Drosophila melanogaster: one gene and its partners. The protein of the gene in region 3 binds, or shares a complex with, the protein of the main gene of each other region. Each region holds a gene or a part of one and is shown on either strand. Other genes may lie near its edges. The genes, in order: MED7, MED4, MED24 and MED18.

Region 1 (4,356 bases), on a different chromosome or scaffold from region 3:
GGAGACGATCAGCAGCATCAGATTGAAAATTCCAAAGCCAGCTCCTTCGATCGCCTTGTCGAAGGTGGCAGAACCTTCTTCCGTGGGCGTGGCTTCTGCCTCCGCGGTACTATCTGAATTACCATCAGCATCCTTGTCATTTTCTAGTCCTAAATCGATAAGAGGGCTACTTATTCCATGGGGCTATAATTTCATACCACTAACACTAAACTTTTCCACACTTGTTTAAGGCACTTATGATAAATTTCTAGAAACTCAGATTACGACTAATCACATAATTTTACGTCTATTTTTCAGTGTCATAAAAGATTACGCTTAAATTTGTCACAATAAACACATTTCAGTTAATTTGCGACTGGTTATTACATGATACTTCTTAAAAACAATGCACTTTTTAAGGAAGCTCTGTTTTATTGGGTTTATAAGGTTTTTTCTACTCCATCGTAGTTAGTTGCCAATTATTTTTTAACCCTTTACCTTTGCTTTTCTCTGGAATCGCTGTTTTAATATTCTTTTCCGACATCTTAGCTATTACTGTTTGTCACCATGGGTTTTCACAATCGGCTTGCTCTTGAAATTGATTGTTCAATTAATACGATGCAGTTCTTAATTAAAAAGCGCAACCACAAGTTCTTTAAAAAATTAAGTTCAAAGTCAATGAGTTAAGGGTTTTCAAAATATTCCTATTCAACCGACTTGCACACTTGCAATGCTGCACGAGAAATGATCATCTAGAGCGCATGGCACCTCCTTTTATCGGAGATTACTTCAATAAAAGTGAAGATTCACTTAACTACATCTCTCTTATCGCGGGCTTTACAATCTAAGAAAGCTAATAAACGTATTAAACCATGTTTATTTAGAAAAACACGTTGGATTTTGTAAAGGGCACAGTGAGTTAAAAAAATTTTAGGGAAAACATTATACTCCAGTTGTGAATGAATATCTCTATTGACTTTTTAATCATGTTTATCAAACAAAATTAGTAATTTTGATGAAACTCCATACAAATTCATTAAAACCACATATGTATATGTACATTATGAAACGCACTGTACGAGCATATTTCGGCTAGCCACGATGATGCCATGCGGTAGCACCCATTAAAAGTAGGAAAACGTGTGAGGTGTTCATGTCTCATGTCATGTCACATGTCTTTACAATTTTTACAATTAAATATATACATTTATATTGTTATTCCTATCCTGAATAAATTGTTCTAGATAGATTATTAATTTATGACATTTGACTATATTATTACTCCACGCTGACTACGTCATTTTAATGGTGAAATTTGTGGGATGCTTAATCATGAGCCTTTATCTCGGATCTTATCTGTGTAAAGCTTATCTCAAAGATGACTTAACACATTAATTCCCATTGAATGAATTACTCATTAGACGTGCAAGATTCTCATCCCACAATTGGGGTTTTATTTCTTATACTAAAAGGAGTTATAAATATGAGGAGCTCTTTTTTCCAAGCCATTCACAATGATTGACACTATTTCCAGCGTCGATGTCCAGTCTTTTGCCAACTCAGCTTACTCGATAGCGTCCACAAGCTTGCACAACATGCGATCGTGCTGGTAACTGGGATCATTCTTGGCCGCCGCATTCGCCTCCAACGGATCCACCTCCGTCTTAATCTTTGCTCCGCCGCTATCGTCGTCATCATCTAGAACCGGCAGAGCTGAGAAGGCGGTATTAACGATCTCGCGCACACGTTCCAAGTGCTTTTGGAAACGGGCGGCGGTCTCAACGCGCTGCCGCTTCTGCATTTCCATCATGACGCGCAGCGTTTCCCTCGCCTGATGTGGGCGAAATTCATTGAGGAGGTGATGCATGTTGACGAACAGCAGACTGATATCGTCAATCTAAGATATCAAATGAGTGTAATACAATAGATGCTACATTTTAATGGGTCAATTGACTCACCTTTTCCGTGCGCCGCGGGCTGTCAGGATTCAGGATAAGAAAGTCAATGAGATCTAGGAAGTTGACCAAGAGGGAGTGGTTAAGCTTCTTGAGCTCCTTGCGCCGATCGAAATGGATGGGGATCAGTCGCTTAATATTCTGGGACTCCAAGCTGCGGATCATCTCGTCGTTGTTGTACTGGATGCCAAACATGCTATAGACTTCGTGCTGCGCCGGCGGCGGCGGTGGGCGTGGCGCTCGGTTGCGGCGGATATTCTCGTCCGTGTAATTGGCGATGTACCGCTCCGGCGGCATCGGCAGGCTGGAAACCTGGGTCTCCTGGTTGGACATTATGAGATTAACAAGTGCGGAAATACAAAAATAATAAATGATTTTTGTTTTGAAGAAGTGATGGCACCTGAGACAGGCGAATCACTCACGATAGTGATGACACTATCACTCAAATTGTTTTCTTAAAAATGAGCACACTAGAGGTTTGAAGCTAGACAATGCAATAATAAGCAGAATTTATTATAATATGTTTTGAGACACTGACAAATAATTTACAATTACAAAAATTAAATTAGATATTAATCGAGCTCGAAATAATAAATGATTCACCGTGCCTAGCTATCGATAACTTAAAGGTGACCATGCTTGCATGCACCCCCTACAGCATTGCCATAGCAATTTTTCTCCGTCTCTTCCCTCATTCGTCGGTAGAGCACAACAAAATAAGAAACACATATATATCTTGATGTGAATAGCTAATTGTTCCAGCACCGATTCGCGCCAATATTCCTGTTCCTGCCAAAGAAATGAAAACAAAACGTAAAACCATAACATAACTGGACCCAACTAAGAGACAAGCCGTGCTGCCTCCACCATTTTGATTTCCCCACTCAGCGTGTGTGCGTGCTTGCAGTGCTTGTGCACGATGCCAGTAAAATGTGCAAAACCGGACATAAAACAAACTTTTCCTAGTGTCATCTAGTGAGCCATGGAGCGGATTTTGCCTGAAGAAGCGGAAGCGGGTAAGCATCCAGAACTTAGGTAACCAACGCAGGACAGCCCCAGGCGTGATCTTCGTTTCCCATTGATTAAGTCAGCGCTATTTCCAGTATACCGCGTGTGTTGGTGCTTCTATGCGAGTGTGTGTGTGTGTGTATGGGGAGGGCCGAAATAAACAATAAAGCGGATCTGCGATTGGGTGTGTGGTTTTTGCTTAAGTAAATCCAATCGGTTTCTATTTAATTCACAGCCTACTTGAGCGAAGCGCGGGAGCAGATATTGGAAATAGCCAAGAATCGGCCGGGAACCCAAGTGGCCAAGTGCATCCGCGCCTACGATGAGCAACAGGACCTGGCCTCGCTAGTCGTCCTCCTCGAAGAGCTCTCCAAAAACACGGACTACTCCACGGACCTACGGATATCACTGGGATATGTGAGTGTTGAAGACCACTATTATCAAGATAAGCAAAACCGCCGAAGAGCAGAAAGATCAAAATAAAAGTGTGACGCAACGTGCGTGGGTTTTACAGTCATGCCTCGATAACTGGTATTTTAACTAAAATTATATAAATGGGTTTTCAAGAAAATCTATTATTTTATTTACAGTGAACACAAAAGCCTGCAGATCCTCAAATACATTGCTTATATTTTCAGTATATTGAAGAGCTACTGCGCCACTGCTTAGGACGAAATGATGTCTCTCGAAGATCGGCCATCGTGGCCGCAGGAAGTGCCCTCCAGTACTGCGGCAAGATCTATGGAGACCGAGTGGAGTACCTGTGCCAGGTGGTGGAGCACCAGATCGAAGCCCTGCTCACATCGGAGTTGCAGAAGGAGACCCCTAGCGGAAGTGCTGCGTAAGTTTAACTCAGAACTGAAGAGTTAAGAAGATGGAGAAAGACAAGGCCACGTGCTCCCCACTTGTCGCCATTGCTGGCTCTTTTCGGTCCAGAATTCCGCTTATCGAGCTTCACTTTACGCCCCCTTCGGCTTTGTTTGCATTAATATCACAGAAGCCGGCTTGCCGTTAATGGACGATAGGGCACGTTCTCGTGCTTCCAAAAACAAATAACAAACAGAGTATATAAAGAAATGAGAAATTAACCAGACAAGTGAAGCTAAAAACGTAGACAGTTCATTCATAAAAATAACAAGTTATTCAGAGATAGATCACATCCTAAATAAATATTTTTACATTATAATTCACTTAAATTCTTTCTTATCAGCCGGCATTAAAGAATTTGGGGAGATTATTTGACCTAAATGTTGAAAGTCTAATTAATTTTAAAGATAGCACCAGTATTTTGATTAAACATAAGATGATTTCATTATAATATTTAAGTTACATAATAATCAGTCCTTTAAAAAAAAGAAATCTTATCCTCTTTTAATCTGCATTTAGCGATATAATAATTGTTTTCCTTTCATAT
Region 2 (4,315 bases), 940 kb from region 3:
CTTCTTTATGATCCTTTGTCGCGTGTTTAATATTAGCAGGGTATCGCATTATTTTCAATTAAAAAACATTTTCTCTGGAGTTGCTTAAAATTTTTAATGATCCAGATGTTGCTCTCGAGTTTATGTGTAATTTTAATAAATATTAACTATTAAACTTTTACAACGAGCAGAGAACCCAGAGCCATGAAACTTTACGTTACGCTTGTGAAATTCAAACAAACCAGTTATTTTATTGAATATGGCTGCTGTCTGCAGTCGAATAAAACTTTCATCGCTCTAATTAAAAGTTCTAAGCTAGTCGATAAAGTGAAGCCAAAACCTAATTGCCATGAAGTCGAGCTCATCGTGTGTTTGTTTTGCTTTACTTACCCATTGCAGGCACCTCGAGGAATTGCTAGACGGGTCCATTAGCAGTCAATCAGCCGCAGAGAAGAGCCAGCAAAAGATACAGATACAGGCGGAGCAAAAGATACAGGATGCACGAGAGACAAGTGAAGAAGTGAGTAGCGCGGATGGGCCACTTAACGGCTAATACAGCGGCGATAACATTTGCGATCCAATTACAGGTTGAAGGGCAGCCATTATGTGGCCACGCACGGTCGCCTCACTCCGGATCCGCCCTACGTCCACTCGAACCGCGGCTATTCCACCGACGGCGATGAGACCCACTCCCACCGGGCGCCCTCGGAGCGCACCTATTCGGAGTACACGTTGACCCACGAGCGCATCTCGCCGCAGTACAATGGTTCGCGCAAGAAGCGCTCCTCATCCTCGAATGGAAACCATCAGCATCAGCACCTGCAGAGCAGCTACAGCCACAGTCAGATGGGCCTCTCCAGTTCGCCGGACAACGGAGGACCTCGCTCCCTCAGCGGACCGCCGCCCACGCGCCAGCCACCGCGTGCTCCGTCCGCCCTGAGCTATGACCAGGCTGGTGACGCCGGCAGCGACATCTATGTGACCAGTGCCGCCTACAAGGCGCCCTCCGAGATCAGGTGCGTTGTTACAACTATATAGCATATAACCCATATCTAAACTATCTATCATCCATTACAGTCGCTACAGTCAGCGTCCAGTGTCGCGAGGAGCTCCACGGAGTGTTTACTCCGTGGCCAGTACGGCCAAAACCGGACGCAGTGCGCGCTCGACGACTCGGCGAGGCGCCAAAGTGGAAACCATGTCCGCGCCGAATCCATTTTGCCCCAATGTCAAGGGCGTGTGCTGTCTGATGCTGTTGCTCAACTTGGGCCTGATCCTGGTGACGCTAGGATTCGTCATTGTGGTGCAGTTCTATGAGCCACTGTACGTGTGGATACTGGGAATTGTGTTCCTGGTCTTCGGCTTCCTCACGCTAATCGGCTGCATGATCTACTGTGTGTACGTGTTCCGGGATGCGAAGACGCCATCGCAGGTGCGCAACGAGGATCTCTACTGGACGCGGCACTGGCAGAAGAATATCGGATACACGCCGCAGGAGATCAACTACAAGGCGGACAAGTACGATGCCTACTCGGATCGCTATTCGGTTAGCAAGCTGAGTGGCAAATACTCGGATCGCGAGAGCCAGCGATACTGATTGTTATGCATATGTACATATGTATGTATGTACATACATATGCGGTTTGATGAAAGGGGATCCTTTGGGCGGAGAAGAAATATGAATAGCCACATATAAACCACTTATATCTTAACTAATTGTAAGACTATCTACTAGTTCTAAACGGTTATTAACAAGGCCCCTCCAACGTACCTGCTGCAAGTTGCTTGCTGGTTTGTATGTTTTAAGAGTGAAACTGACGGGAGACGCGAACGCGAGGATGCAACAGAGTATTGTAATCTGCCATATTTGAGAAGGTTTGTTAGGTTTGATTTGGCTAATCAACAGAAGAGTTTTATGCTAAAATTGTAACTGCAATTGTAACACACGAGAAATAAACAAGCAAATAATACCTACTAGAGATAACGCTGCGAATTTGTTTTATTTTTGAACAGTCTCTTCTACTCTTTGCTTTTGAGTACTTGATTCCCTTTTTTTTGAGTGTATGAAATAACCCATGTGGCAACTCCTATTAGTCTGGCAACCTCTCTGTTACGGTATTTTTACAACGTGGTATTAACAGCGCTCCGGAATACTATACGGTATATTTCAGCAATCGAAGAACGGCCACATTGCGGTGTGGAAAATAAACAAATTGCAATTATTGCTTAGCACAAACGATTTGCCGTGATAATGTCGTTTCATTTGAGCACAAAAGAGCGCCTTCTGCTCCTGATCGACGACATTGAGATGATTGCCAAGGAGTTGATCGAGCAGGCGCACCAGAAGATCTCCAGCACCGAATTGGTGGACCTGTTGGATTTGCTGGTGGCCAAAGATGAGGAATTTCGCAAAATGCTGGAACTGGCGGAGGAGCAGGCGAAAGTGGAGGAGGCGATGGACCAACTGCGCGCTAAGGTCGAGGTGCACGTAAGTAGAAGTTTTGCATTCCCCAAAAATAAGGTATAATCTGGATTTTCCCGCTTAGGACCGTGAGATCCAGAAGCTGCAAAAGTCGCTAAAGGATGCGGAGCTCATACTGTCCACGGCCATCTTCCAAGCGCGACAGAAACTGGCCAGCATCAATCAGGCCAACAAACGACCGGTTTCATCCGAGGAGCTCATCAAATACGCACATCGGATTAGCTCCGCCAATGCGGTCAGTGCTCCGCTCACCTGGTGCATAGGTGACCTGCGGCGTCCCTATCCCACGGACATTGAGATGCGCAACGGGCTGCTGGGTAAATCCGAGCAGAACATCAACGGCGGAACAGTGACCCACCAGAACAGCGGCATGCCCTCGGAGCAGCAGCGAACGCTGTCCGGTAGCGCAGGAAGTGGGAGTGGCAGTGGCGCCGGCGGCGAGGTGCCCAATGCCTTCCAGAACCAGTTTAACTGGAATCTCGGAGAGCTGCACATGACCATGGGCGCCTCTGGGAACACAGTGGCCCTGGAGACGCGCGCCCAGGACGATGTGGAGGTCATGTCCACGGATAGCTCAAGCTCCAGTTCCAGCGATTCGCAGTAGAATTGGATAAAAAACTATAACTAAATCTCGTTTAAGCTAGTAGTATTAGGTATTTAATAAAAGCGCGCTGTAAGGAAGTCTAGTTATGTATATATTTGAGTAGCTGGGATACATATCTAATTTTATGACCTTCTTTAATGATATTAATTTACAATTTAAATTGGCATTTAAAAAAATGCAAAGTTATGTATCAGTGGAAACAGCTTATAATAGCTTCGTGTCAAGAGCTTGGTACTTTTGCGCTAGTGCGATACGGTCCTCCTCAACCATATAAACAATCGATTGGCAGGGTCGCGTGCAATCGATACTTTGACAGCTCGCAATTATTTTAGCTTTGGTTTTTCAAATAAAATGGAATGCAACGCGTATGCAGCGTGTTTCAAGTAGCTAAAATGTGGCCAAGGTGTAGTCCAGTGTCGCCGCCAATCGCAGATCAGCCCCGTGTGCGTCTTTAACGAGAGATAAGCCCCGAAAACGATAGTAGAAAACCGACCCCCCGTTCGCAGTGTGTGTGTACAGAGGGCGAAGCGAAGCGAAGGCTCGACTCAAACCAATTGCAATATCAAATATAAAGAAAAAGTGGAAGTGGAAGGTGGAGTGGAGTGGAGGCCAGGGAGCGAGAGACACCGCCATCGCCACTTGCATCGCCGCATCCGCAATCGGGTTACATACGACACTCACATACCACACAGCCAGCCAGCACACAGGCCAAACTTTTACTTTTTCCCATTCGATATTGTTGGAAAAAATTTGGCCAAAAGAAAACAATTCGAATACAAATACAAACAGAAGAGTGTACGAGTGGGGGGCGACATGATAGTTTGTTTGAGTTCTACACACTGCATGTTTGAATTATTGTAAAGCCCTGAAGTACAGTGAACGTACATCTCATAGAGCGCCCCTAGAAAGTCGCACATACCGCCCAGACATGATGATTCAAGAGCCCGTGCAGGTAAATCAATAGCTCCTCGGTCCACCTGGCCTCTATAAAAAACCAAATTTTCTCCCTTCTTTTTTTTCGCTCCCAAAGGCCGCCATATGGCATTGCCTGAACTACTACGACTTCAAGGATGCCGTTTTCCTGTCGGAACGCCTGTGCTCAGAAGGTATAGGTCAAGGTCTCGTTTGTCTGACCGGGTATATCACTGATTTTCTCTTTCACCGTGTCCTTGCAGTGGAGAGCGACGAGACGATATTCCTGCTGGCCACCAGCTACTTCCGCTCCAATCAGGTGCACCAGGCATATTGGC
Region 3 (8,998 bases):
ATCCTTGGCCACCGATGGCTCCGTCGACATAATCAGAAATTGTTGAAATTCAAAATAAACAGCTCAAGGGGAGCCCAATCGTAATGCATTAATCAACATGTGCTGGTTAAGGCAGCCCTGGTTTCCGATAGAGATGTGGTTTGCAAAGTAGCTAACAAATATTTCTTTAAATTTATCTGCAAAGTTTTACGTAGTTATGGAACGAAGTAAGAAAAACCAGCTATCAAAGACTTGCGTTTAATTTAAATAAATATATTTAATATATATATTTAAAAAAAAAAATTATGACGATGATTTTCAAATATATTACGACACCGGTTGCATGTCGAAAATTTAGGTTTTAAAATTTTCTTCGTTTCGAAGTATCCAAACTTGGCTTGAATCCCGCTGAATCCGAAGTCCGCTTACCAGCACTACGCAACAACTATCGAGCAGACTGTTATCGGGTGCAACCATCGATTAATTACACATATCGCTGGGCAGAAACAAGGAAAGGATAGAAAGCACTCGAAGTGATTTTTTACATCAGTTCTATTGTTAACGGTAGGCCAAAGATTCAGTGAAACAATTGCCCTTAAACCACTGACATTTCAAACAATGCAACCTGTCCCTCAAGCAGCAAAAGCCCCCCAGAGAGCCAGAAACTTTCGAGCACAGCCAAACGCGGAAGACGAAACGCCAGCGAGACGAGGACGCCAAGATGATTAAACTATTCACGCTTAAGCAGCAGAAGAAAGACGGCGAGCAAAAGGGCAGTCAGCAGAAGAAAGCGTCCGCCGCCCAGCTGCGCATACAGAAAGGTAGTCTCCAATCCAGCACCTGGTATGATCAACTCTCGCTTATTACTTATCCATCTTGGGCTGTTTTCCTCCCCCCAGATATTAACGAACTGAACCTGCCAAACACTTGCGCCACAGACTTTCCCGATCCCAATGACTTGCTCAACTTCAAGCTTATCATCTCGCCCGACGAGGGCTTCTACAGAGACGGGCGCTTCGTGTTCAATTTCCGCGTCGGATCCAACTATCCGCACGAGCCGCCCAAGGTGAAGTGCGCCACCCAGGTGTACCATCCCAATATTGACCTGGATGGCAACGTCTGCCTCAACATTCTGCGCGAGGACTGGAATCCAGTGCTGAACATCAACTCCATCGTCTATGGCTTGCAGTTTCTATTCTTGGTTTGTATTTCGTGATTTGTGTTATTTTAGAGGCTATACGCTTTGTTCCATAAGTCTTGATCAACAGCCACAGTTTTCAAGTTACAATTGATTTTTTATGTCTTGTTTTGTGAACAATTGATTTCTAAGTGTGCTTAATTGAACGCCCACTGAAACAATTCAATATAAATGTTTGTTTATACCACTTAACGATCATTATTTCTATTTTTGTTATTACCCAAGCCAACAGTATTACTAATCCAAATTAACTGCTTCCAGGAACCCAATCCCGAGGATCCGCTCAACAAGGAGGCGGCCGACGTCCTGCAGACCAACCGCCGTCAGTTCGAGAACAATGTAAAGAAGGCGATGCGTGGTGGCTGTGTGGGCGAGACCTACTTCGAGTGCTGTCTGCTCAAGTGATATAGGGAATCGCAAGGTCTCTTACTTTAAGCCTGTCCATACACCTCCCCCTACACCCGCTAACTGAAGAAGATGAAGCAAAACACAGACGAACATCGGCGACAACAAATTATTGTAATAAACGAAAACAAAATCCACTGCGTGCAAAGAAGAAGCCGAGTCAAGTCACCAATTTCTAGTTTTTAATACAATTCATTTAGCAATTTCGCCCACCCGTCTCTTAATCATAATCGGCATACCCAATGTGGCAATCATCCAAATCCCTCACAGATGAATGCTGTGCCTGGCCATCTGCATATTTCGCCACAGGCAAAGATCAGACACAGCGGACAGTCTTCCTGCCTGGATTCGCAGATCGTATAGTCTGCTGATGAGACCCACTTTTATGTCGTCGGTGACCAAAACTTTCAGGAGCTGTTGCACCAGGCCGTTGGGCAGCAAGCGCAGGACGGGAGCGACCCTCTCACCACCGCATTCCACCAGCAGCGAAATGAACTGATAAACAAAAACGGCCTTGGGCGACAGTTCATCTCCACTGACAAACTGCAGGAACACTGCGAAAATGTGCTGCACGCTCGTCTGCAGTGGTTCTCTTAGAGTAAGCGGCGTAGTCCGCAGTTCAGATGTGGAAGTGGAGCCCAATAATGCTGCCAGGCCAGCTCCGGTCGTAGTGTCCGTAAAGTCGCTTGAGTTGTCGCTGCCATCGCCAATCACCTTGCGCACTTTGGCTGCATTGGCCGCCAGTTCCTCGTCATCGTGAGATCTCGATCGCTTCTTCATGGCCGTCAAAGCGGAAGTGCCATTTCCTTTGCGGCTCTCCAGGCAGGAAATAATACAGTAAACACAGAGGCGGGCCAGTACCAGGGATTGGGGCTCATTAATGTCCTCACTAGAAAAAAAAAAGATTGCCAAATTGTGAGTACGAGTTCTATCATAGCAGTTTCAATTTTTACATCCTTTCTTGCTAAATCGATTCGATTTGTAGATAATAAATAAATGAAATAATATACAGAAGAAAATATTGGTATTTACCCTTGTCGTCGCAGTATCAGTGGAGCCACCACGTACTGGAGCAACGCCTCAGTGGTCTTCTCAATGTCGAGATGCATTACGGCAAACACAACGTCCATGGTTCGCGACATATCCCTTGTGTACTTGCAGGCCAGCAGTTGCTCCACCAACTGCGTGGACAGCCACGCCGCGCCACCGGCTAGCAGAAGCGACTCCAACGACTGAGCGGCGCGAACGGGCAGGTGACCAGCATCGACTACTGTTCGCCACACCTCCCGAAACTGCTCGACTAGCGGGGAATGTGAAATGAGGCGGGACTTGGTACTTGGGGCAGGATGCACATCGTGTTGCATTTTTCTGATAATCTGATAGGAGAGAGCTAGTCGCTCCTTGGCATTTTCCTGGCTGGAAAGCTCTTCGCTGGTCAACGGAGCCAGGAACTGCTGAATCATGTTTAGTGGTTTCAGAAGTTCCGTTTCCTTCACCGAATACATGTAGGCGCATAGAAAACTAGTGGCGCAAACGGAAAAACTGAAAAGTCTTCTCTTAATATTGTCCAGAATACTTTTAACGTCCGCCGAGGATAGCGTTTCCTGCTCCCAAGCTATTAGCACATGATGAAGCACTCCGGGCAGATTAAGGCAAGTCTCCTGCCAACTTAAGTTGTTTGGCTTAAGTTGTGATGCCTCTGGTTTACTGAAGCTAAGCAAAAGCTCGTCGACAATACTGTCATCACAGAGGGCAAGAATTTGACGCGGATTCTTAAGCTTATTCCTTTCCACCATGCACTCACGCACCCATTTTTCAAAAAATGAGTCACCACGCTCAGATAAGACCACCTGAAGTAAAATAGAATTCATTAAAATTGCAGCGTAATAACAGGCGGGTTTACGAACATCGGATCCATAGGTCTGCACAATGCTTGTCAACATTAGGAAGGAAACATCAAACAGAGTGGACCGGATGACGCATAGCTTGCCCAGGTCGCCCGGCACCGGCTTGGAGTTCTCATTGCACTGGATCAGACGCGATACGAATGTCTTGAGGCGTCCCTCGACGGTAGCCACTGAAAGAATCAACTCGAAGCTGTTGCCCACCGGCACTTGGCAAAGGACATTAACCATGTCCTGGACCTTGTTGGTGCACAGCGTTTTTAGTACTCCGGAAAGCGGAACCTCTGCGCGCTTGATGAAGTTTATATTGGAGGGTGTCTGTTGGCCATTGTCGCATTTTTTGAGTAATTGAGAGGCGGCTTCCCTGAAAGAGTTCGTTTTAAATTATATAATTAAGATGGGTGTACAAAATGCATGATTTCTCGACTAACCTTTGACTGGCGAACTTCTTTACGTGGACATCATTGACTAGTTGTTGCTTGGTCCAGTCATTCAAAAGGAACTCGATCATATTGCATGAGCACTTAGTATCCATGAAGTCTAGCAGCAGATTGTCCTCGATGAGCAATTCCAAAGCCTCCACCAACTCGGGTATGTAATCGGCCGGTGGTGGTTGCTCCCCGGGAATCCGTTGCAGGGCGTGCAATTGCTTAATGATGTGCGGCATTTTAAAGAACATAAAGGCACCCCACATAGTGTCAGGACTTGTATCCGCAACATTGCTCAGCGTGAGGAATCCAGCACGGATGATTTCGTAGAAGAGCCGTGTATTGGAGTATTTCTTTAATCGTTGCAGCATCTGCAACTCAGCCACGTAGTAGCTGGTGTCCTTGCACGGATTGAGAAGCACTTCCACCGCCAGTAAGGGTTGCACGCAGCACGAGATCTTCTCGAGTGTTGACGGCGGATTAAGTGGTTGCATTTCAAGATGCTTGGCTTCTATAAAGGCCAACTGCTGCAATTGCTGCTCCACTTGTGGTGCATTTAGCGTAAAGTTTGAGTTCGTCAACGATCCCTTGATGGTAGCGTACTTATCCCGAATCCGTCCACATATTTCGAGCTCTTCGTGACAGCCCACGTACAGCATAGACAGCAGGAACTGCTGCTGGCTAAGCCGATCTATCACCACGCAGGTCTGGTCCAGCATGTATGATTGCTCAGCACTAATCTCACCATACAGTTCATAGTGCTGCACAGTTCTGGCGAAGATTTGAAGCAGCCAGTACACCAAGTGGACGACGGAACTCGGTAAAACCGCTTCCTCAGATTTTATTCTGGAAATAGAAATGAACAATTATTTTTACTCCTGCTTTTTAACGACTTATAAAACTAAAAGGACTTACCGGCAGGTAACGCCATCCACGATGCTGGCCAGGAATTCAAGGAGCGCTGTAATGCAATAAACGCGCTCTAATTTGTCATATTTGGCAATGCACCGAATAACAGCAGCGTGAGAAACGAGATGGGCGCACAGTGAATGCTTCAGGTAGTTAAGAACCAACTGAAAAGCATAGATTACAATTTAGAAAACAATCTAAATACTCAGATCAACTACTCACCGGATTAGCCGTGGAACCAATGAGTGCCTGCTGCATCAGACAGTCAGCCAGATTGTATACATCTCCACTGACTCCTCTCGGCAGCACCTGAAATAGTAATCAAGGGAAAGACAATAATGAAACATTTTCTTTTCCTGTCAAACTTTAACACAATATCTGGGTCACAACCCCATAAAATAAACAGAAACAGAACCACTTAAAAATCTAGTTAGGATTTCCACTTATATAGTTAGCACACATAGTTGCATATTTCGTTACGCGATAAAAAATGTTTCGTTTAAAATTATTTCGCAGTCCTGGAGACGTATTAAGCACTTTAATTAGCGGAGCTGCAACGGATTGCTGCAGGAAGACGTCACATTGTTTGGAGTTGGATCGCGCTCCCGCTGTCGCTGCCTGCTGGATCTGTATGCGGATGATCAGTCAATATCAGTTCAGGACCACGAAACCAGCCTACTATCCAGATCGCCAGCGGGAGGCGAAGCGAACGTCAGCGGGAGCCACGCCTCAACAGGTGTCATCTCCGGCTGTTAAGTACCCGCAAAGCCGAGGCATGCCCAAGGACTACTACTACAAAGTGTTAGGCGTCAACAGGCACGCCACCATCCAGCAAATCAGATCGGCTTTCTATGCGCTGGCCAAGCGCTATCATCCCGACTCGACGCACTCGGAACAAAAGCTGAAGCACTTCCAGGAGCTGTCCAACGCCTACAACATCCTAACCGACGAGACGAAGCGCTTGGAGTACGATCAGCTGGGCGGGATTAAGGATGAGCGCGCTTTTCTTGAACAGGCGGGCAATCCCCTAAATGTGGGCCTCGAGGAGGCCAAGAAGTTCGATTCGGATAAGACGACAAATGATGGTAAGCAGACGGATTTTAGATACATCAAACACCATTTCACTTTTCACTATATCACGATATGAACACGATCCTTGAATCGCCTTCTAGAGATCAACAAACTGAAGAGCAACGAGTTCGATCTGCCACTTGACTTCCTTGAGGCGACAGTGGGATGCAAGAAGCGGATAGAGCTGCGCTACTTGCGGAAATGCGAGACCTGCAAGGGCAAGTCACAATTGATGGCGCATCGGGATGTGGGCAAGGAACCCTGTCGGCGATGCAATGGAACTGGAAAGGTCATGACCAAAACGCCAACCTTCTCATCGGTGAACACATGCACGCAGTGCAAGGGCAAGCGATTCACAAATCGCAACGACTGCGAAACATGTTCGAATCGCGGCTTCGTGGTGTCCAATGTGGATGTGATGGTATCGGTGCCTTCCGGATCCCGGGACGGTGATGTGGTGAACATTATAAATCCGGAAACGAAGCAGCAGGTCACCTACCGCTTGTCGGTGCCGTCTAGCGACTATTTCCGACGCGTTGGCAATGACATTCTAACCGACAAGCACCTAAACATCTCGGAGGCCATTCTGGGCGGATCCTTTCAGATACGGGGTCTGTACGAAAGCGTGGAGCTGCGTGTGGAGCCGGGCACCCAATCCCACACCCAGGTGGTGCTCAATGGCAAGGGGGTGCGCTCCAGGGAGGGCGTGGGCAACCACATCGTCACGCTGAAGGTGCGTATACCCCGGAATCTCTCCGTAAAGCAACGCCAACTGGTTTTGGCACTGTCCCAGGCAGAGGATCCGGTTTTCGAGCCCAAGACTAAGAGCACGGAGGCGGGCAATTTGAGTCACTAAAATTCTCAATGTACCGGCCTCATTGCGTTTACAATATATTGGTAAACACGAACATTGATTGTTTGGTGTGTTGATTTGCTTGGGTTGCCTTGCCTTTTTTATGTTGATGCCCCACTGGGAGTCCGTCCAGCGCTCGCGCCACGCCACATAGATGAGTTGGAGGATCTTGTTGTTCTCCTTCATCTCTCGCGTCCGTGGAAGTAATATAACTTTTACTTTTCTCGTATTTCACGCAATTTATTTTATTTAAACCTAATATATTTTTTAGCAGCGCTCAGTGTGACCGAGGTATCTTTTATTAATCATACCAAAAGAGTACCATAATTTTCCCATCCTACAGTGTTGAAAAACACACAATCTTAAAATTTGTCGCCAATTTTAAATATTTTGAAAATTTTGTTTTTGCAACGAGGAATTTAGCCAAATAAAGGAAATAATATTAAAATATATTTTAAGACACCGAAAAGGCACCCACAAACAAATTTTAATTCAAATAATTTATTGAATACAATAAAGTAGCGTATGAGTTTCATTTGTAAACTGTTTTCATTTTAAACATTATGTTCTAAAATATTTGACTTTGTACAAAATATATTCTATTTATATATGCCGAAAATTGTTCCTCCATTGCACGCTCCGATTTTTTGAATTTCATTTCACTCATCGTGTCGCTAGCTGAATGTTAAATTTTAAATTGAATATATAATATATATATATAGGTGTGGTGTATGTGCTTAATCCGAGATATTTCGATATGATTAAACAATAGCTAGGCGAGAACTTTACATACAAATCGAGTTCGGTGGATTGTCAAGGGAAGATGCGCGAGGACTGGAAAAATAAAAAAATTAAAAACTAATTTGCAAAGGCCGTTTATTTTGTATAAAAAGCTGGCAACTCAAATATCAAAGCGAATCTGTAAATCCGTCTAAATTATTAATTAACAACTAACTTAGGAGTGTATGACAAAAGCATTTCACATTCCAATGGCAGCGCCAGGAACGGAGGCTTAAAACTAAAAAATGTTTTGGGTAGGGAGAGGCCGTACAAAGGAATATTGGCTGGTACAAAACGAGGAAGAATCATCGCTGACAACGTTAAGAGCTAAATTAAGTCTATGACCTATTTATTTACTTAAATACGCTTGACGCCACAGAGCCACCGTCGTTTATTCATCATCATTATCGCCGCCGCCAGTCGCCAAGCATCATTGTAATCACTTTAGCATCATCGTCCTTATTACTTTGAGGAGTGAGTTTCGTTTACCATCGCTGCATCTCTCATTTTTGATCATTGACCTTGTCTAAGCGGATGAGGGTCCCACGGGATCGTCACCCTTCACGGCCGACGCATAGGAGCTACTTGGTTTGTCGACACCACCGGTAACAGAAACAGCCGACTTGCCATCACCGCCACTTCCACCAGTGCCTGCTCCGGCTGCACTTGCACTGCTCGGCGGAACTCCAGCTGCTCCGCCAATGCTCACGCCACTGTTAAGGCCTAGAGTTTGAGGTGAATCAACTAGAGAATTTGTTTCGATTGTGGGTTTGGTTGGGATGTGTGTAAGTGTGAAGTGTGTGCGAGAAGCGAACAGTTAAGCACCTTTGATATCCATGGCATAGTGGTCCTCCAGCCGCAGGTCGTGCCTCTTTATTAGCTGGCACTCTGCGCCCTCGACGGTGGGAATGGAATACACGTACAAGTACCCATCCTGCGAGGCAATCAAAAGTCTACAAATACAACAGAATGAACCGTTATTTAGAACTTGAAATAGAGGCAGGGTAATCAGTTTGTAGTTCAATTTGCACGTGATTCAATTTTTGTTTTATAAACCTTTATGAAATGTACTAGGCTACTTTTGCAAAGAGCATATTAATTACATTTCAACAGAGTTCAGGGAAATTCAAACATATGAAGCCAGATAAAGTAGGTAGTGTAAATGATTTACGCGGAACAACTGCATTGGTATCTAGAACTCAGATTCCCTACCTGAGGTATTAAGCTCGCATAGAATTGCAGTTTTCGAAATTCTTTATAGCTAGGTAGAATTTTATGGCTTTTTCACTTTCCCGTGCGTTCTTCGTTGCAAATTGAACTGAAACAAAACTGATCCGTGCTAGACTCACCTTAGCTGCTTTTGTATCGTGGCAATAGCGCACATCCTGCGCACTCCCGCCTCCGGCAGAGTGACCGAGGCGAAGGCACGGCCTTGGCTAAACACGTCGGTCACCTGCGTGGGCAGGTAGCT
Region 4 (4,265 bases), on a different chromosome or scaffold from region 3:
CAGCAACAGGACCCCTTCTTTGACTCCGCCATGGAAACTATAATCACAGATCATCTGCCACAGGCGCCACAGGGGGAATCGCTGGACGACTGGATCAGCGACTACCAGCGCAGCACCGAACAAAAAGAGCAAACCGCCGCCAACTTCAACGAAAAGTTCTGGGAGCGGCTGCAAGACGAGTGGCAGAAGCTGGCCGACGAGAACGAGCATCCGTGGCTGTCGGAGTACAACGACAATATGGACGCTTATAAGGAGTACGAGTTCGCCGAGGGCAACCCCATGTCTGATGTGGAGAACCCGTTTGAAAAGGGTAAGGAGTACCTGTCCAAAGGGGATATACCCAGCGCAGTTCTATGTTTCGAGGTGGCGGCCAAAAAGCAACCGGAGCGCGCTGAGGTCTGGCAGTTGCTGGGCACTTCGCAGACAGAGAACGAAATGGATCCCCAGGCCATTGCGGCACTTAAGCGGGCTTACGACTTGCAACCGGACAACCAACAGGTCCTGATGGCCCTGGCCGCGTGCTACACCAACGAGGGCCTGCAGAACAACGCCGTGCGCATGCTGTGCAACTGGCTGACAGTGCATCCCAAGTATCAGCACCTGGTCGCAGCCCATCCGGAGCTGCAGGCCGAGGGCACTTCGTTGGCTTCGTCGCTGATTGGTCCGAGTAAGCTGCGCGATCTGCAGCAGATCTACTTGGAAGCCGTTCGACAGCACCCTTCGGAGGTGGATGCCGAAGTCCAGGATGCCCTCGGCGTGCTCTACAATCTATCTGGGGAGTTCGACAAGGCGGTGGACTGCTACCAGTCCGCTCTGCAGGTGGATCCCCAAAATGCGAAGACATGGAACCGATTGGGGGCCAGTTTGGCCAACGGCTCGCGCTCCGTGGAGGCGGTGGAGGCTTATCAGCAGGCGCTGCAGCTCCAACCGGGCTTCATCCGTGTGCGTTACAACGTGGGCGTATGTTGCATGAACCTTAAGGCCTACAAGGAAGCTGTGGAGCACTTACTCACAGCGCTTACCATGCAGGCTCACACTAACGCCGCCCGAGAGCTGCCCAATGCGGCGATGGCGGCTACCTTTAGAGGACAGAACCAGATGTCCGAGTCTATTTGGAGTACGCTGAAGATGGTCATTTCGCTGATGGGCCGCAGCGATCTCCAGAGTTATGTGAGCGATCGCAATCTGGCGGCTCTTAATGAGGCCTTTAAGGATTAACCGCCCCGCAGCTTCTTTATCACTGCTTTGGGAAAGTCCGTTGTTGTCGTGTCATGTGGGTGTGTAAGGTTGAATTTGAGATATTTTTTACTCTGGCAGTGTAATCATTCCCTCTCGGTTCTTTTCTGTAAATTTGTATATTTTCTTACATTTAAGAAATTAAATAACTGTTGGATAAATGCGATGTGCACTTTTATTGTAAACTACGGCATGCCGCCCAGTCGCTTGTAGTCGATCTTCTCGAGCTGCACGAGTGGCTTTAGTTGCTCGGCAAACACGCGCATTTCCTCGCCGACATTCTCCTGCCCCGTTGGCGCCACCACAGAGAGTTCCACTATGTAGCTTTGTGAGATTGGCTCGTTGGCCATGTCCTGCTGCTTGCCGGGCACAATCTTAATGAGCTTGGAGACGGTAATCTTCATGCGCCCCTTGCGGAACATATAGCCTGAAATAAGTCCATTTGTCACTATCCATTTTGGCAACCCAAGCGTAATATATTTCATGATTCCAACCCTTTGCTATGTACTCGAACTCCAGGCGGAAGCCCATTTCCGTGAGGAATTCCAAAATGCCATTGGTGCAGGCGCAGTCCATGCAGCTGCGTACCAATGTAGGCCGGCGCAGATCCACCTCGGGGTTTCCTAGGTAGCGCATCTGAAAGGGTGCATCGCGACCAAGGGCTCGGCGCACGCGAAGAAGCAGCGGCTGGTTGGCATTGGGCTGGCGAAGGCTCATACACACTTCCAGATCGTGAAACGGCTCCGGCGAGGTGTCCACATTGTCGCAGAGTCCCTTTAGTCTGATAGTGGGTAGGCGGTTAGACTGTTAGTCGGGTGCAAACGATTCAAATCTGACACTGGGTCTCCCACCTGTGCATCAAGTGTTCCACGGCGGAATCCAGGATAGATCCCTGCAGCAAGTACTCCAGGTTGGGCAAGAAGCGGTTGTTCATCGCATGGGAGAGCGACTCACGGGCCGACGACACAATCGCCATTGGCTAATTTTGTAAGTTTGGGTGTACTATGGTATTAAATTAACTGAGCAGTAGTTTGGTTTTGTTTTTAGTTTCATTTCCTTGGAAGAATTCGTTTTACTAGTGATGCCGTTTTAGACATTTTCGAACAGCACTAGCTAGATGCCGGAAAATCAAATAGTCTATCGATAACGATGAACGTAAATCGACGCGCACAGAATAATAGCAAATACGAATTTTGCTTAAAGCATATTCATAGAGATTGATTTACCGTAAATGCCCCAACGACGCCCCCAAAATGGCGGATCATAAGTATAGGCTCTTCAATGCGGTCGACCCGAGCAAAGTAAAAGTTCCCTTCAATCAAAAGTTCGCCAATTTGACGCTATCCTCCCACAAAAAACGACTCCAGGTGTCCCATGCGCCGAAGGATCATCCAGAAAAGAGGAACGACCAGAAAACAAGGAAACTGCCAGCAGCTCCCATGCGCGCCAATGTGGGAGCACCCGCTCCGTCCTGCGGGGCAAATACGGAGGACACAGAACTCGACAATTCCGACTACATGGAAGCCTTGCAGCTGAGCGCCGACGGCTGCAGCCAGGATGTGGCAAATGTGGGCGATGTAGAGCTCCTGTCCGCTGGCATCAGCAATTTGAAAGTGCAGCCCATAAATGAGGAGCACTCGGCCAAGCCGGAGATCTCCATTTGCATTTCCTCCACTACGGAAGAGAACGTATCCGGCGACGACGACGCCGCCTCCTGTATCACCATATCCGATTCTAGCGAGGATGAGCAAGAACCCTTGCCTCCCGATAGCATGGCTGTGAGTGAACGGGAAATTGTGGCTAATCCCGGCCAGGAAGACATACCACAGCCCATGCTCACAACCGAAAAAGTGCAGCGCATCGAGGCTTTTCTGCGCGATGTGTCCATAGAGCGACGCGAGATGGAGTGGAATGGCCCATTGACACCGCCCCCCCTCTCTTCCAGCCAGCGGCAATCCCGTCTAGCCGATGCGGACACCGAATCCATGTCGCCCACCGACGAGGACTGGCAGCCACCCACTACCAGGCCGATTTACAACAGCACACAACTGGCGAACAACGATACGCAGGTGAATACCATCTGCTCAGCAGATGCCACTCGATTGGATAGCAGCAAGCGGTTGGCAGACGACGAAACGGAGGCGAATACTCTCGGATCGGAGGAGCTTGAGCCCACATACAGCAGCAAGCGTTTAGCAGACAATGACACCGAGCCCAACACCCTGTGTTCTGATAGTTCTGAGACCCATAACTCGACGATTCACAACAATGAGCCCGTTCCTGATGAATCCATTGAAATACCGGAAACCAGCAGCGAGGGCGAGCTCACGCCGCAAAAGGCCAGCTCTGGTTCCTCCACATCGGGAGGGGACGAACACGGTTCTATCCAGGTCAGCAGTATTAATATTTCAGCGAAGATCAACATTAAAATCAGCATTCCCACTATGGAGTCAAGTTCGGCGGAAGACGACGATGAGCATTACTCTTCGCCCAGGGCCACTAAGTCCCTGCCCAGCTCGGAGGAGGTGCAGCACCAAGAGCACCAGCAGCAGGACCCTCAGAGCCACCAAAAATCCATGCTGTCTGTGGATGATGCATCCGAGGATGAGCAGTTTCTCACCCACGCAGAAAAGCTGCTCAATCAATTGTACGGCAAGTCTTGGCAGACACCAGATGTGATCCGCACTCTAAAGCGCTCCAGTGGTAGTGGCGGTAAACAGGCTCCTCTGAGGCCCAGGAATATTCAAGCAACAGCGGTAACCACCGCTAAAAAAAAGAAGCCCAAGCCAGATGAAAGTGTTCTCGGGGACTTCAGCATATGTAAGAATTTATCCATGCTTTTTATCCTCCAACCGTTGAGTCACACGCGCTTTAATCCCCAGTTACTAAACCTCTGCGCACAAATCAGACTCCTTTAAACTCGACTCGTCTGCCTCCGATGCGCGCTGTCCAAACGGAGAGACGTCCGCGGACTCAAAAGCCGTTGACACGCCCACGCACCAATCATATAGACGAGGATCGCTGGCGCA

Evidence for each region.
Region 1: MED24 (region 3) and MED7 share a complex: the UniProt entries of both Drosophila melanogaster proteins name them as parts of the mediator complex.
Region 2: MED24 (region 3) and MED4 share a complex: the UniProt entries of both Drosophila melanogaster proteins name them as parts of the mediator complex.
Region 4: MED24 (region 3) and MED18 share a complex: the UniProt entries of both Drosophila melanogaster proteins name them as parts of the mediator complex.

The regions. Positions count from the first base shown.
Region 1 is NT_033777.3:10,758,667-10,763,022, forward strand, and holds MED7 (mediator complex subunit 7), read right to left. Parts: upstream 2,367-4,356; 5' UTR 2,268-2,366; coding exon 1,938-2,267; intron 1,877-1,937; coding exon 1,544-1,876; 3' UTR 1,405-1,543; downstream 1-1,404. Other genes in the region: CG31272 (uncharacterized protein), read right to left, coding at 1-149, 478-523; Cap-H2 (chromosome associated protein H2), read left to right, coding at 2,917-2,950, 3,178-3,359, 3,581-3,783. UniProt on the Drosophila melanogaster protein: Component of the Mediator complex, a coactivator involved in the regulated transcription of nearly all RNA polymerase II-dependent genes.
Region 2 is NT_037436.4:7,248,360-7,252,674, reverse strand, and holds MED4 (mediator complex subunit 4), read left to right. Parts: upstream 1-2,147; 5' UTR 2,148-2,230; coding exon 2,231-2,467; intron 2,468-2,525; coding exon 2,526-3,065; 3' UTR 3,066-3,146; downstream 3,147-4,315. Other genes in the region: CG14830 (uncharacterized protein), read left to right, coding at 477-499, 567-995, 1,057-1,576; Cdc27 (cell division cycle 27), read left to right, coding at 3,994-4,017, 4,096-4,171, 4,241-4,315. UniProt on the Drosophila melanogaster protein: Component of the Mediator complex, a coactivator involved in the regulated transcription of nearly all RNA polymerase II-dependent genes.
Region 3 is NT_037436.4:8,189,324-8,198,321, reverse strand, and holds MED24 (mediator complex subunit 24), read right to left. Parts: upstream 7,053-8,998; 5' UTR 6,934-7,052; coding exon 6,844-6,933; intron 6,801-6,843; exon of another isoform or gene 6,751-6,800; coding exon of another isoform or gene 5,996-6,750; intron 5,909-5,995; coding exon of another isoform or gene 5,314-5,908; exon of another isoform or gene 5,206-5,313; intron 5,133-5,205; coding exon 5,046-5,132; intron 4,988-5,045; coding exon 4,830-4,987; intron 4,761-4,829; coding exon 3,918-4,760; intron 3,851-3,917; coding exon 3,490-3,850; intron 3,433-3,489; coding exon 2,615-3,432; intron 2,476-2,614; exon of another isoform or gene 2,472-2,475; coding exon 1,847-2,471; 3' UTR 1,749-1,846; downstream 1-1,748. Other genes in the region: Dhps (deoxyhypusine synthase), read right to left, coding at 1-30; NEDD8-conjugating enzyme UbcE2M, read left to right, coding at 701-800, 879-1,180, 1,439-1,582; CG7387 (uncharacterized protein), read left to right, coding at 5,314-5,908, 5,996-6,750; Atg18a (Autophagy-related 18a), read right to left, coding at 8,054-8,271, 8,353-8,480, 8,877-8,998. UniProt on the Drosophila melanogaster protein: Component of the Mediator complex, a coactivator involved in the regulated transcription of nearly all RNA polymerase II-dependent genes.
Region 4 is NC_004354.4:1,863,961-1,868,225, reverse strand, and holds MED18 (mediator complex subunit 18), read right to left. Parts: upstream 2,318-4,265; 5' UTR 2,213-2,317; coding exon 2,088-2,212; intron 2,041-2,087; coding exon of another isoform or gene 2,018-2,040; coding exon 1,731-2,017; intron 1,664-1,730; coding exon 1,422-1,663; 3' UTR 1,339-1,421; downstream 1-1,338. Other genes in the region: Pex5 (peroxin 5), read left to right, coding at 1-1,218; Gcna (germ cell nuclear acidic peptidase), read left to right, coding at 2,490-4,056, 4,119-4,265. UniProt on the Drosophila melanogaster protein: Component of the Mediator complex, a coactivator involved in the regulated transcription of nearly all RNA polymerase II-dependent genes.